2 linked regions of the Notamacropus eugenii genome follow. The protein of the gene in region 2 interacts with the protein of the main gene of each other region in a pairwise test. Links are inferred from orthologs where the notes say so. Each region holds a gene or a part of one and is shown on either strand. Other genes may lie near its edges.

What was found.
Region 1: the proteins of PGBD1 (region 2) and SCAND1 interact in binary tests that used the Homo sapiens proteins (3 or more experiments, as listed by UniProt). The two-hybrid records come from large-scale screens. The link is inferred for Notamacropus eugenii from reciprocal best matches to the Homo sapiens genes PGBD1 and SCAND1.

What each region holds. Positions count from the first base shown.
Region 1 is NC_092872.1:419,853,416-419,860,893, forward strand, and holds SCAND1 (SCAN domain-containing protein 1), read right to left. Parts: upstream 2,969-7,478; 5' UTR 2,850-2,968; intron 2,702-2,849; 5' UTR 2,621-2,701; coding exon 2,174-2,620; 3' UTR 806-2,173; downstream 1-805. UniProt on the Homo sapiens protein: May regulate transcriptional activity.
Region 2 is NC_092873.1:73,250,913-73,258,583, reverse strand, and holds the start of PGBD1 (piggyBac transposable element-derived protein 1), read right to left. Parts: upstream 3,342-7,671; 5' UTR 3,215-3,341; intron 1-3,214.

The sequences.
Region 1 (7,478 bases), on a different chromosome or scaffold from region 2:
AAGACTTGTGTTCCTGAGAAGAGGCAATAAAAAAAGCAAGGTCTTCAGAGAGGGATTTTATTCAACTGAAGACTTACAGTACGCCCCTTTTCAAATTTCCTTTGGAAGAGGTTCTGTCTTATTATGTGATACAGAGGATGGTACAGGGATAAGAGCCTCCATCTCTGAATGCTGGACCAAGCTTAGTTAATCTAAAGTTGGAGCACTGGAAACAATTACTGCTGTTACCTTTAAGAAATGTTTAGTTATTGTATGTTACCTAAATTTGAATTTTGTCTATTTGGATGAAAGCTATCCTACTAAAATTGTCTTGGCAGAATCAGTTCTGGTTTGACTAAATTTTGTTTCTTTAAATTGGTGGGTGAATGCAAGGTAGAACCTTGATGAGATGAGCCAACATTGCACTGTGGAGATGTAACTGTTTGTTTACGCACTATTAGAATGGAGGGCACTGTATATAGAAGTTTTGCTTTGGAGCAATATTTACAAAACATGCAAACCTCTTTATCTGTGTTTGGAAAAAATAAATAGGTTTTTGTTGTTTTATGCATTAGTGCTTATTTTGTTTACTCTCCTACCACTTAAGTCCCTTAATAAAACACTGTGTAACCACTGACATTTTCTATAAAACAAGGTTTTGCATATGGAATCCTAATGATCACATAAAAATCATACCAATGAAATCATGGATCCTCCAAAAACGTGATACCTTGAGTAGAAGATGGGTCGCAGTGAAGACAAAGTTTTACCTTACAACTTATGAGTGCAGGAAATCAGTTTGACTCACAAAGGAACACAAGAATCCTTTTCTGATGAATAATTTAATGCTTTTTTAAGAGGGTAAAAATGCCAGGAGCACCTGATGCTTGCAGTGAAGTGAGGAAATACAATGTCTTGCCGAAGCACCAAACTGGCTATGCTTACATTCTCCAGCTCCAGATAATTTCAGCTCTGACATAAGTCAAATGTTTTAGCATGTTTCCTAAAACTAAAACACAAAAAGTTGCTATTAGCTGTAAATTAATTCCATGTGAATGTTTCAGACACACTCCTGAATAACTAGAAAGAAAGGCACCAGCTAGGCACAACAGTCCCAAGAGGGCCCACTGCTGATCTTAAGTCACCGAATGTCACAAACAGTTCACTAAATCTTCCAGTCCCGGGGTGGGGGTCCATCAGCACTGGACCACAGATTCCTAAGAATTCCACTCCAGGGGACACTGGCCAAGGGCAAGAAAGAGATGCATCTTTCTCCATATTGTAGATGGCAGAGTGAAAGACTAAACTAAAAACAGGTGGTTTGACACTTAATATGGAGTTGTAATGAAAAGGAAAAAATGCATTACATTGGGCTCAGTGGGTGGTACCAAACCCGGTGCTATTAAACCTCAACTGTAGGTCAACCTCATTTCTGCAATAATCTCTTGCTAAACACTTAACGGATTTGGATATTACCATACAGAGGGTACAAAGGCATCCTCAAACAGTGCACAAAAAGCCCCCGATTCTAGTATCAATTGTGTACCCTAGGCCAACTCTTGATCTCCCTGAGCCTGGTTACTTAAAAAGATAGAACGCATGTAAAAGGCACTACCCCAAAATAACATGAAAGGAACTGCCAATGATCTTTTCATTCCTCCACAACAATTTAACAACAAGCCTCTACTATGAAATAAGGGAGCTAGATAGAATCTGTATGGTCCCTTGCAGGTCCTCCGACCTTTCACGAAAAAAATAACTACCAGACATAGGACATCGATCAGGTCTCTTTACATGAGGTGCTCCAGCAGAAGGAATAGATGGCTACTTTCACAAGACACTGGGACCACTGTAGGACAGAGCACTGGGCAGTCTCCACCTTAGGCGCCCTCCCCCCAGGTAGCCACATGGAGAGTGGCGATGGAGGCTGCCAGGCAGAAAACCAAGAGGCGAAGGAAAGAGTCACAACAGGCCACGACTGCCAAAAATCAGGCTTCATTAACGCGGAGGCGGGTGCGGACAGACAAGACAACGGGAGCTCGGCGGCCCCCGGACGAGGGGAGAAGCTTCAAGCTCGCTACGGTGCGGCCCGCTGCGGCCCCGGCGTCAGCATCGCCGCCGCCGCCTCTCTGCGCGGCCGGAGGGCGGAGGCCGCTCCTCGCTCGCCAGCCGGCGGGGCCTCGGGCTCTCTCGGTCAGCCGGTGATGCGCACGTCTCCGCGGCGGCCTCGCCGGCGGGCCCGGATCTCCTCGGGCAGGATGGCCATGAGCTGCTCCTGCACCAGCATCTCCACGATCTGCTCCTTGGTTCGGACCTCGGGCCGCAGCCACTGGCGGGACAGTTCGCGGAGCTGGCGGAACGCCTCGCGCGGCCCCGCCGCCTCGTGGTAGCGGAACTGCCGGAAGCGCTGGCGGAACGTCTCCGGGCCCGGCCGGGCCCCCGGGGGTCCGTGGGCTGGGGGAGAGGCCTCGAGGGCGGCGGGGAGCTGGACCGGGGACGGGGGCGAAGCGGAAGGGGGCGCAGGGCCAGGGAGCGAGGCCTCCGGGCCAGCGTCAGACTCCTCCAGTTTCAGGGGCGAAGCTCCTTCTTTCTCCGGGGTCGCTGGGATCGACCGGCCCGTACTCCCCTGCTCCGCCGCCATCTCGACGGCTCCCGGCGTCACCCTTTGTCTCGCGACTTGGGGTCTCTCTGCGCCTGCGCCAAAGCGTGGACTCCGGCCAACCTAAAGAGAAAAGAGGAATCGCTTTGCGCCTGTGTCTGAGTCAGCGCTAGTCAAAAAGGAGGCCTGGGCAGTTCTGTGACGAGCTAGGCTTTCGTCGCAAGAATGAGGTCAAGATGACGGTTGGGACGGTGGCCCGAGGGCGCTTTACCTCCTCACGTCGGGATCCGGCAGCCACAGAGACAGGCTATTTAAACAACGGGTCTGCGAAGCGTTAAACGGAATCGTGAAGGAAGCGTAAAACTCCGGAAGCGGAAGCAGCTTCTCTATGGTCTAACGCTCAATCAACCCCCCCCAATAGCACATCGCCCCCTAGTGGCGGAGGGACGCTCTAGGCGCGGAACCGGGCGTGGGAAGTTCAATTCCGCAAACAGCGCACCTCTGGGAACGGCGAATGTTGGAGGGGTTGTGGGAAGGCAGACACGTGCGTGCACTGTTGGAGCTGGGAATCGGTGCAACCTTTTAGGAAGGCAGTTTGGAATTGTGATTGTAATATCTGGCCCTGAGATTCCACTGCTCGATAGAGAGATATAGATAGATAGATAGATAGATATACACATACATACATACATACATACATACATACATATACATAGGTAGATATATATAGTATATGTGTATATGTATATATGTGCACACACACATCTATCTATCTATCTATCTATCTATCTATCTATCTATCTATCTATCTATCTATCTATCTATCTATCTATCGATATACTTTCAAGAAGGCTGTTTATAAGAAGAAATGACCCAAATACTAAGAATAATAGCAGCCTTTGTGATAGCCTATTTGTGACAGCAAGGAACTGGAAACAAAGTAGATGGTTATTGATTGGGGAATGGCAAAGTGAATTGAGGTGCATGAATATAATGGAATATCATTACTCTCCTCTAAGAAATTAGAAATAGGATGAATACAGAGAAATAGGGAAAGGTATGCACAAAAGGGATGCAAAGTGAAGTAAGCAAAGCTAAGGAAACAGAATTACAAACATATGATCACAAGTGAATGTGACGAAATGGCCAAAAACGAGCATAACTCCACAGAAGAGCTATGAGAAGAGGTAGGAGGTCCACCCTTACAAAGTATACATAGTTTCAATTTTTTTCAATGTTTTGATCAGTTATATTGAATTTTTTTTTTGTCTTTAAAAATATTTGCTATATGGGATGGCTCTCTGGGAGGGAAGGGGGAAATTATGGTGATTTTAAAAAATAGCACAAAAGGTTTTTTTTTGAAGAGCCTATTGTGTGTATCCGTGTTGAAATGAGGAGTTTTAATGATCTGAACAAACATTTAGAATTCTATAGGCTCTAGAGCTGAGAGGGACCAGCATATTTATTTTATAAATAAAATACACGTAAAGAGGGAAAATGACTTGTCTAAGGCCACCAAAATAGTAACAGAGTCAAAAAAGGTCCTCAGTCTCCCAATATGGGGATCTTCCCATTTATTCACTTTGCTCTTGCCATTCAACCATTACATCTCCCAATTTTTCATTTTCAGTCTTTCTCTTTTTGGCTCCTTTGCAAACATCTTCAACCCCTGCTTCTCCTTAAAAAAATATTTCCTTGACAAAAATATCCTCTTCATTCTATAACAATCAACAAGCATTTATTTGTTCTTTGTGACAGGCATCTAGGCACTTGAGAATACAAATCTAAAAGACAGTCCCTGCCTTCAAGGGGGTATGATACAATATTAGGGAATGGTGGTCTGGGAAGGAAGTTTTGGATAAGGCAGTCACAGGAACTGTTGATTGCAAACACAGGGCAGTCTATTGTTCCTGTTCTTTCCAATAGAAAATGTAGTACTGAGCTAATTATTGTTTGGTAGACAAGAGGTGAAAAGTGTGTGGGGAGAGGGGAGGCATGATACGATTATGTGGAAGAACAGATGGTAAGATTCCTGTTCTGGGTGAGCCCTAGTGAATAGGGGTCTAGGAACTTGGTATTGCTAGAAAATGCTAAGACAAAAATGGATTCATGCACCACCAATGCAGGCAGCTCTCATTGCCCTGAGCGGTCTGAAAATTGAGTGAATTAACTGGGTTAGAAGGTTAAACTTTGGGAAATTGTTAGTCACCACCACTTAGTCATTCTTTACTCCCTTGCATTCTATTTTCTTTTCTCATAACTCTGTGGAAGCTGTTTTTTCAAAGGTCACTAATGGCTTCTTAGTTGCTAAATTGATGTTCACAAAGAGCAAATTTTTTCAAATCAGTCTTCAAATTTCTTGACTTTGTTTTTTTGCAGCTTTTGACATTTGTCCGCTCTTATATTCCTTTCTTCTTTGGCTTTTCATTGCTCTCTCCTGGTTTTCTTCCTATCTGTCCAACTGTACCTTTTTAGTTTCCTCTACTTTTCTAGCTGGGATCTTCTGGTTCCTCACACCTCCTAAATCCTTGTCCAATCTTCATCTCTTACCTAATTATCCCTGGAGTGATCTCATCTGCATCTGTTTCTGTAGTTTCAAAGATCACTTCTATGCAGGTGACTCCCAAATATCCCCAAATAACCTGTGGTCCACAACCACAGTTCTGGGTTTCCACAGCCTGGTTTTAATTACTGGCTCATGTTCCACCCATGATTTCTCTAGGTATTATCAGTATATATAACACATGTCTTGGTCTTTACAAAAAAAAGTTATAAGATCTTCCACACCCAATTGAACAGGGGTTGTTAACCTTTCTTGATACTTCAGTCAATGAACATTTATTAAGCATCTAGAGGCACTGTGCTAAGTACTGGAAATACAAAGAAAGGTAAAAGACATTCCTTGCTCTCAAAGAGCTCACAATCTAATGAGGGAACATTTATAAAAAGAAGCTGAAAAGAACCAGGGATTGAGGGAAAAGGAAAGGAAGGGTTCTAGTGCCATGTTGAAGTCAATATGATGAAGTCTTGTATAGGAAATGAGTAGGAAATGATGAGCTGGTTGCCCACAGTGCCCTCCTTAAATGGAGGATCAGGGAAGAGCTCTAATTGTTAGAAACACATGTGACACACAGAGTATCAAGGAAAATTTCTTTAAGTAGAGTTCAGAGAATTGAACTCATTGGCCAAGGTAAACTCTACCCTTCCTCAAAAAGGGAGAGAGGGAGAGATATGGAAGTAAGGGCATTTTTATAAAGTTAGTATAGGACAGATCCTCCCATCAGAGAATGGATTGGTCCATATTCTTTCTGGTCACAATTTTTTGACACGCCCACTGTGCATCATTAACAAGTGCAGTTGGATTTTTAGGTGACTGCTTACAATGACTTCATGTTCTCCTCTCTGATAGACTTTCCCCTAAATAGTTTGCCAAGCCTACCCACAAGGCCCTGACCTTCATTCTGACCATGCTAGGTCACAACTCCAATTAACGACCATCATTGAGAGTTTTGATCCTGTGGAAACAGAACTTTTTCCTTCGTTTCCCATATCTAAGGTGTCCACCCTCTGCCCCTTCCAATCTGAAAGAGGGTGGGCTAGGGGCTGGTGGTACCGAGAAGGTGAGAGTTTCAGAATTGCTGTGATCTTGCATGGAGATCATGATAAAATCTTTGGGAGCAGCCCAAGTGACTGCCATGGGCCGTCTCCTTAAATGGAGGATCAAGGAGGAGCCTTCTGATGTCCAAATCAATCTGGTGAAACCTATGGACCTTTTCTCAGAAAAATGTATACAAATGTATAAAATAAAACACCTAGGAGTATAAAGAAAATCAATTATATTGAAATAAAATAATAAAAATAAAAGTTCACACACCCCATATTAAGAAATAGATAGGTTTCTTTTCACTCAGCAGAAATTGCAAAACATGAAAGACTCTCGCATAAACAGTCATCCCTTCTTTCTCTTCTGGTGAGCCCTCACTGCCCTAGGGGAGATTCTTAGTAGTACTATCTGTGGTTCCCCACTTCCTCAACTCCTCTCTTCCCACCCCTGTTCCCTTTATTTTCACCAAAAGGGAAAAAAGCACTTGCAGATTATATTTATATACATATATGTATATATGATTTATGAATATATATCTCTGTTCAATGTCAAGAGTACATGAGGAAGACCCTTGGCACATTGGGTGTTTACAAGAGCATATGGACACAAACTTGGTTGGTTACAGTCTCCATTGCTGAAGGGAATATTCACAATGCTGATAGGAGATCTATAGGCATATTGGAGTTTCTGTCTAGCTTAGTGGATCTAAGGAGCAGGGGTGTACTGTAACCAGCTTGAACTCAGATAATGCTACAAATTAAGGCTTGCTTTATTTTGTTGAATATCTAGACTTATGGAAGTGATGGAGAAAATGTTAATAATGCAGATTAAAATCAAAAGTGTCTCATGAATTTTCAGAAACATTTACAAGCACCTCCTTGCTCTGTCATTAAGTAGTGACTTAACCTGTCACTTAACTTCAATGCTCGAGATAGTTCTCTAAGACTGTATGTTACAGAAGAGTTACTATAATAGTGGAGAAAGACAAGATGGTCACTGTGCCAAGGAAATCACAGATGTAGATCAAAAATTACTGTTGTATATTTTGATCTCTTGCCTACTTTGTTCTGCATTAGTTCACACGAATATTCCTGTTTGACTCTAATCTGGCTTTTTCTTTTATTTGTCTTTTTTTACTTACTTTTTTTAACTTATATTTTCTTTTATTACTTGTCTTCTTGAATTCCAGGGTCCAAACAAATTGGCCTTCTGGCTGTTCCCCATACTTGACATACCATCTCTCATCTCTGGACTTTTGCACTGGCTGTAGGTCCCCGATGCACTCCTTCACTTTTA
Region 2 (7,671 bases):
TTCATTTTAAAGAGGAGATATAAGGCATGCAGTGGAAGTAGGAAACTTGGATTCAAGTTCTAACTGATGCATAGTAACTGGGTGGCCAAAGGTAAACTGCTTAAAATTTCTATGCCCCTGACAATGTAAATTAGATTAGAAAAGAGTTTCCACACCTGGAATTCCCCACACTGAAGAAACAAGTTTCTTCCCCACCTATCTCAAATGTGCTTAAACACTGTAGGAAACACTAAGGATACAAAACTAAAACAATACTGGACTCAAGAAGCTCATATTCTACGGAGGGGTGTGGAGCTAAGAGAGAATATATCATATACACAAGTAAAATTTGAGGAGGAAAAAAAAGTACTACCAAATGGGGAAACAAAAAATTTAAATCTCAATGAAAAGAAAACTATTCTACTTGATGGAGATGAGGAAGAATTCTTTCTTACTCTGGGCACTGACACTACTCGTGCAAGCACATAGCAACAGAAGTACGCTGCTAACTTTTCAAAATAGCTAGTCATCCAGTCTGGCTGCAATATTGAATTCAAAAAGGGGAGTGATTAGAAAATATGGCTGGAAAGACAAAGAAGACCTACAATGTGCACTTCCTTACATACCAGACTGAAGAGTCTGTATTTTATTCCAGAAACAATGAATAAGTGGGAGAATTACACAACCAAATCTTGCTTTGAGAAAATTATTCTGGTAGCTGGTAGGCAATCTTACTATACCTCCCCCCCTCACCAAGTCACTAACTTTGTTTTCATAGTTGCTCTTCCAAATCTTTTCATCCCTTCTGAAACCTCCCATGACTTCCCAATTCTCTCAGCTGAGAACTTTCACTCATATTTTACACAAAAAAAAAAATTGAGGCCACTGGGCATTAACTACTTCTACACTGTTCTGGACCTCCAATGACTCAGATATCTTCTGCCACTTTCTTCTCCATCACCCCATTTCACATGATAAAGGGGCCTTACTCCTTATCCTCTAAGCAAAACCACCTTTTCCAAGTCTGCCCTGTCTGTCACCTCCACTCTTTCACTTAATTTCAATCTCTCCTTGCCTACTGCCTCATTTCCAACTGCTTTATAAACTTGTCCACATCAACCTTTTCTTGAAAAATCTCTCAATCCCCCCATTCTCACCAAGTATTGTCCCTTATCTCTTCTGTCCTTTGTGGTTAAAACTCCTTCCAAAGGCTCTCTACAATAGGCCTCTTAACCCCTTAAAATCTGGATTCTGACCTTATCATTCCACCTGAAAGTGCTTTCTCCAAAGTTACTTATGATCTCTCAGTTGCCAAATTCAATGGCCTTTTCTCAATCCTCATTTTTCTAAATCTCTGCAACCTTTGACACTGTTGAATACTCTCTCCTTGGTATCTTCTTCCCTCAGGTTTTTTAAAATACCCACTCTTTCTTGCTTTTTGTCTTACCTGTCTGTTCCTCTGTCTCCTTTACTGGATCCTTTCCAGATTATACCATCTAACTGTAGGTTAGCGTTTCCGTCCTGGGCCCCCTCCTCTTCTCCCTCTATTCTGCTTCACTTGGTGATCCGTCGCCTCGCGTGGTTTTCATTATTATCTCTATGCTTCTGATTCTTAAATCAGAACTTACCCCAACTTCTCCGCTGCCCTCCAAAGTGGCATCTCCAGCTGCCTTTCAGATGCCAGTAGACATCTTAAATTCAATCTTGTCAAAACCGAACTCAGGATCTTTCCCCCAAACCCTCCCACCTCCCACCTCCCACCTTCCCTGTTACAGGAGAGGGCAACACCATCCTCCCAGGCCTCCTGGATTCCTCCCTATCTCTCACCCCCCATAGCCAAGCTGTTGCCAAGGCCTGCCACTCCGAGGCCTGCAACCTCTCAAATACGTCCCTTCCTCTCTGAACTACTCACCAGTGCAGGCCCTCATCCCTGCCCCTCACCTGGACCATCGCAACAGCCTGCGGATGGGCGGGTGACCTCCAGCCTGCCTCCCCTCCATCCACCCTCCATCCGGCTCCCCCTCTTTCCCGCGGCGGACCCCCTCCGGCGGCTTCCTATTGTTTGCAGGAGCAAACGATCCGTTCGGCAAAGAAAGCCTTCCGTGACCCGGCCTCCTCCTACCTAGGCAGTCTTCGCCACCGGCCCCTGGCCTCCGAGGCGCGCCGCCAACTCTCTCCCTCCTCCGTTCTCCTGACTCTTCAAAGTCAATAAATTCCGCCTTCCAGGGGAACCCTTCTCCAAGCGTTCTTAACGCACGCTAGCACCTGAGGCCCGATTCGGATCCAGCTCCTCCCGCCTCTGGGGCCGGGACGCACAACAGAACCACCCACCTCCTCCTCCCGTTTCTAGGAGCGGAGCAGAGCGGCGGGGCCGGGGGGCCGGGGCCGCGGCGGGGCCGGGGGGCCGGGGGGCCGGGGCCGCGGCGAGGCCGGGGGGCCTGCCCCTCCTCCTACGGAAGGCGGCGGTGGTTATCATAAACACTAGCCGGTCATTCTCAAGTCAAAATGGCTCTGGGGCTCGGAAAACGCAGAAACCGGGGAACCGCCTTCTTACCGCCAGAGCTCGGGAGAGCGGATCCCAGGGCAGCTCCTCCCCGGGGGACGGCCGGGGGCCTTGGTTTACCCACAAATCCCCCGAGCTGCCGCAAGGACCGCGGCGCAAATGCGGGGAGCAGGCCCCGAGCAGGGCCCGGCGTCCTCCGCGGCGGGAGGGAGGCGCGGCCGGAGCCTCTAATGAGCCCCAGACACCGACGCCATCCCCAGACCCGGCGTACCGAGGCCTTTCTCCTCCTTCTCTAAGTGCTTCCAGCAGTCAGGGAGGCGGGAGGAGGGGGGCGGAGGGAAGGCGGGGAGAGGGAGGGGGAGAGGGGAGGGGAAGGGGGGAAGGAGAGGGGGAGGGGAGGGGGGGAGGAGAAGAGGAGGAGGAAAGGGGGAGGGGAGGGAAAGAGGAGGGGGAGAGGGGGAGGGGAGGGGAAGAGGAGGGGGAGAGAGGGAGGGGGAGGGGAGAGGGGAAGGGGGAGGGGGGAGGGGAAGAGGAGGAGGAAAGGGGGAGGGGAGGGGAAGAGGAGGGGGAGAGGGGGAGGGGAGGGAAAGAGGAGGGGGAGAGAGGGAGGGGGAGGGGAGGGGGGAGGGGGGAGGGGAAGAGGAGAGTGAAGAAGCGGGGGAGGAAGAGGCGTTTCACCCGCACACCCCTCCGGGCCGATCCCGCGCCCCCATCCCCCTCGGCGGCACTCACCACGAAGCCTGCGAGGGTACGCGCCCCAGAAAACGCGTGGGCGCTCAGGACCGACCAGGCTTTCCAGGATTCGCCGGGCGCCCAGAAGTGCGCATGCCATCTAGGTCGTGTCTGCTGCTCTGGTCCTCTCTAGGAATCTCGAGGCGGACTGGCTGCATCTCTTTGTTCTCCCACCTTAGGGTCCCGCCCACCGAGCCTGAGACAGTGTTGGGGGAGGGGGCGCTGGGCTCTCTCTGCTTGGAACCCTGGCAGGCTCCCTCAGAGTCACAGGGACCCTCTCGGCTGGGAATCCTTCCTTTCTCACTGTCTCCCTCTTTGCTGGGACCCCCAGACCTTTGCCTCTTTTCCAGTCAAAACCTGTCTTTCAGGGTCTTAACAATTCATAAGTCTCTCTCTCCCTCTCCTCTGTCTCTCTCTCTCTCTGTCTCTCTCTCTCTCTGTCTCTCTCCTCTCTCTCTCTCTCTCTCTCTCTCTCTCTCTCTCTCTCTCTCTCTCTCTCTCTCTCTCTCTCTCTCTCTCTCTCTCTCTCTCTCTCTCTCTCCTCTCTCTCTCTCTCTCTCTCTCTCTCTCTCTCTCTCTCTCTCTCTCTCTCTCTCTCTCTCCTCTCTCCCTTCTCTCTCTCCTCTCTCTCTCTCTGTCTCTCTGTCTCTCAGAAGTGTACATTTTGATAGTAATAATAATAGTTTAATTCTAAATCATATTAACATTTGCATAACTCCCAATGGGGTTGGGAATATCAATTATTTAGTTCCACTTTACAGATGAGGAAAGTGAGGTGCAACCATATCAAAGTCTGAACCTCAATTCCACCTTGAACAGTCAGTCTTCACGATGGGACCCAGTATTTCTGGTGCAGAACAGATTTTGACTGATTTGAAAAAAATCTAGGGAGAATCTGATCTGGTTAAGCTCTGTCAATCTAAATGGCCATCGTAAACTTAAATGAATGGCCTTGGTTACCTAATAAGTTTTACAAATTCTACAAGTTAAAATAGAAGTTCAGTTTCTGAAACAAATGAACTATCAGTTTATTAGTTTAGCAGCTTCTGAAATGCACCAAGAGGATCTCTTTTTGGACATACAGGAAGCCCATAGGCAGTATCTTATTCCTTTAAGGGACAATAACATCACACTTTACAACCTTGCCAAAATAAAACCAAAAAAATTCTCTATGAAATTCTCTCACTGATAACTTTTATTCTTCAATGAGTAAGATGAGAAGAGAGAACAAGAAATAAGAGTGGAATCCCAGAGGCAGGACAACTTACCAGATGCAACTGATAGCTGACCAAGAATGTTATTTTGCAGAATTTAAAGAGAACAAAAATTTGACCTCACCCTTGTCTAATTACTGCCACGAACTCAGGTACTGGAAAAAGAAATTTCCAGTCCACTCCAAACAACCAGTATATTCCCCCCAAAAAAATTCACTAGAAGATAAGGAAGTGAATGAGAGTTATGCTGAAAATGTCTGTTTTCCAAAAAAATACATAGTCTCATTTCTGTGTTCCTAGGTTGAAAACAGAGAGAGAGAGGGAGAAGATACAGACAAAGAGAAACAGAGATAGAGAGAGAAACAGATATTCTTTTTTATTTGCAGAAATCTATGACATTTTAACCTAACCAGAAACTATATTTGAGAATAAAATGTAATCTGCAAGTCCAAATTATGATGAAAATGTAGTTTTTATAAGTGCTAAAATATCCTAATGGTTTTTGAGGTTGCAGCTCTCTAGGATTTTTTTTAAAATAGAAAGTTTGTGAAATTTTCATGAAAGTAGCTTTCAGACTCCTTTATCTTTCTGTCCCTTCCCTGAAGAGTTACAGATTTATTGTTTTAGGGTAGAAAAGGAAGATAATTTCTCTGACTAGAGAATTCTCAGAAAGCCTTAAACGGAATGGAAGCCATTTTAAAAGTTTTATTTCCAGTAATTCCAAAAGGGGAGGAACAAAATGTCAACAGTTTTGCAGTCTGCAGTTTCTAAACTTGCCTTAAGCAATAAGCACTAAGAGCAAGCTGATCTTAAGTCCTCTTCACTGGTTTCTAAGTTACTAGAATAGAATACCAAAATTGATGGATAAATGAAATTATTTTTCCATGTAAGACAAATTAGAAGTGCATTTCCCTGAATGATGTCCTTTGACTGGCAATAAGTTTTGCTTCATGTTTTAAATCCATAATATTGTTTTATATTTTTTGTTATGCTCTTAAAATTTTTACATCATGATCTTGCCAGAATATAAGAAATACTATTTATTGGAGAAATGATAACTAGAATGTGATGAATTTGTATTACTCTCACTTTTATGTGAATGCAATAAAGTGATGAATTTGGATAATCACTTATTGGGAATTTTTGTCCTTTGTTCTTATACTGAAAAAACTGTCTTGAATATTTAATTGGCTATATTTTTCTTGAAAATCAACAATGATGTTCATTTAGTGCTTGAGAAAAGTACAAAAGGCCTTGAAAAATTCGCATTATCTTTGAAATTATTTGGGGACTTGTCAGGTCCTTTGAGTTTTCAACCTTGACAAAGTCATAAAATCTTATCAGTTCTGTGAAAGAAGGAACTATAAAAACAGATATGGCTAATGAGAAATTTTTTAAATTCTAAGATACTTATCTGTGCAAACACTCAACCGGAATGGAGGATAGCTTGGTGGTTGTCCTTTGTTCTGGAACAGGATCAAAAATGAGTCATTATAGTGCATCTGAATGTAGCTGATCAGATCAATATGAGCTCAGAATGTTCTACCACCAGGTAGGGTACAAATGAGGTTGATGCATGCATTGCCAGAGCTAGCTCAGTGTTTGGGAAGATCCAAAGGAAAATATGAGAGAGAAGAGGTATTAGACTATCAAACTGAAGGTTTATAGAGTTGTTGTGCTGACTTCATTGTTGTATGCCTGTGAAACCTGGACAATATATTGGTGCCATGCCAGGAAACTGAATCACTTCCATATGAATTGTCTTAGGAAGGTTTCATAGATCACCTGGCAGGATGACGGTACCAGACACTGAGGTCCTTACCCAAACTAAACTGCCAAGCATTCAAACTCTGCTTCAGAGAGCACAACTCTGATGGGCTGACTGTGTTGTTCAAATGCAAAATATAAGCTTGCCAAAAAGACTATTTTATGGAGAACTCACATGGGGCAAGTGTTCACATGTGGTCAGAAGCAATACAGGAACACTCTCAAGGTCTCCCTTAAGAACTTTGGAATTGATTGTGTAACGTGGGATGACAAGCTCAGCACTGCATGTCCACATTCAAGAATGTGCAAAGCAGAATTGAGACAGCTCAAAGGAAATGCAGGAGGTGCAAATTTGTAGTACCCACCCGAAATGCACATGCGGACTAGTTGTGCTTGACTTGTGGTACAACATTCCAAACTTGCATTGGTCTGATCACCCACAGATGCACACATTAAAACTTGACTCTAGCATAGTGATGTCATTTTGGTCCTCTTTGAGAATGAAGGACAACAACCATACCATGCTCATAGAGCACATATAGCACAGCACCTTCTCTTATGTCACTGTCTCCCACATCACACAATCAATTCCAAAGTTCTTTTTTTCAATTTATTCATTTATTTAGTTTGAGTTTTCAACATTCAATTTTATAAAATTTTGAGTTTTAAATTCCCCTCCTGTTGGAGGTGCAAGCTCAGTTCCATGTGGACAGTCTCGGGCAGGTAAAAGTGAGGACTTCTAAACCTTAGAGTTCTCATGAGGCCCCCCAGGGAACAGCTGGGAATTGAGGTGTGAGACCCAGGCTATCTCGTGCATTTCCGCCTCTTCCCCATGGGAAACTTGCTGGGGACAGCATCCTGCCCTCGAGATTAATCCATGGTCTGAGCACACCTATTGTTGTCTAGCTAAGGGCTGAGAACAGGCACGGTATTCAGGTGCAAACTATGCAGCAGGAGAGCTTAAGTAGAGTCAGGAAAGCCTGAAGGCGCTCTTAGCACTGAGGGGCCCTTAGAGGGCAGAGGGTCCCTCCCCTCTCCCGCTCCCAATCTCTTACTGTAAGATCTTTGCCTCCTTGGGAGGAGGACTCCTCTCTCCTGAGGAAGAATTCCCCCTGCACATGTAACCAAGACCCTGAATAAAGCCTAACCCTTGTTCGACTCTGGAAAGTCTCTTCTCTCATACGTTTATCTGGTTTGGCTAGCCAAAGACCTGCGACAGGTAAGGAAAGACTCAGGTAGCCCTTAGGCCTCTAGGCCTGACACCCTCCCAAGACAGCATGCAATCTGATATAGGCTATACATGTATAATCATATTAAACATATTTCCACAGTACCCATGTTTTAAAAGAAGAATCAAAAAAAGTGAAAACCATGAAAAAGAGAAAAAAAAGAGGAAATGGTATGCTTCAATCTGCATTCAGGCTCAGTTCTTTCTCTGGATGTGGATAGCATTTTCCATCATCAATCTTTTGGAAT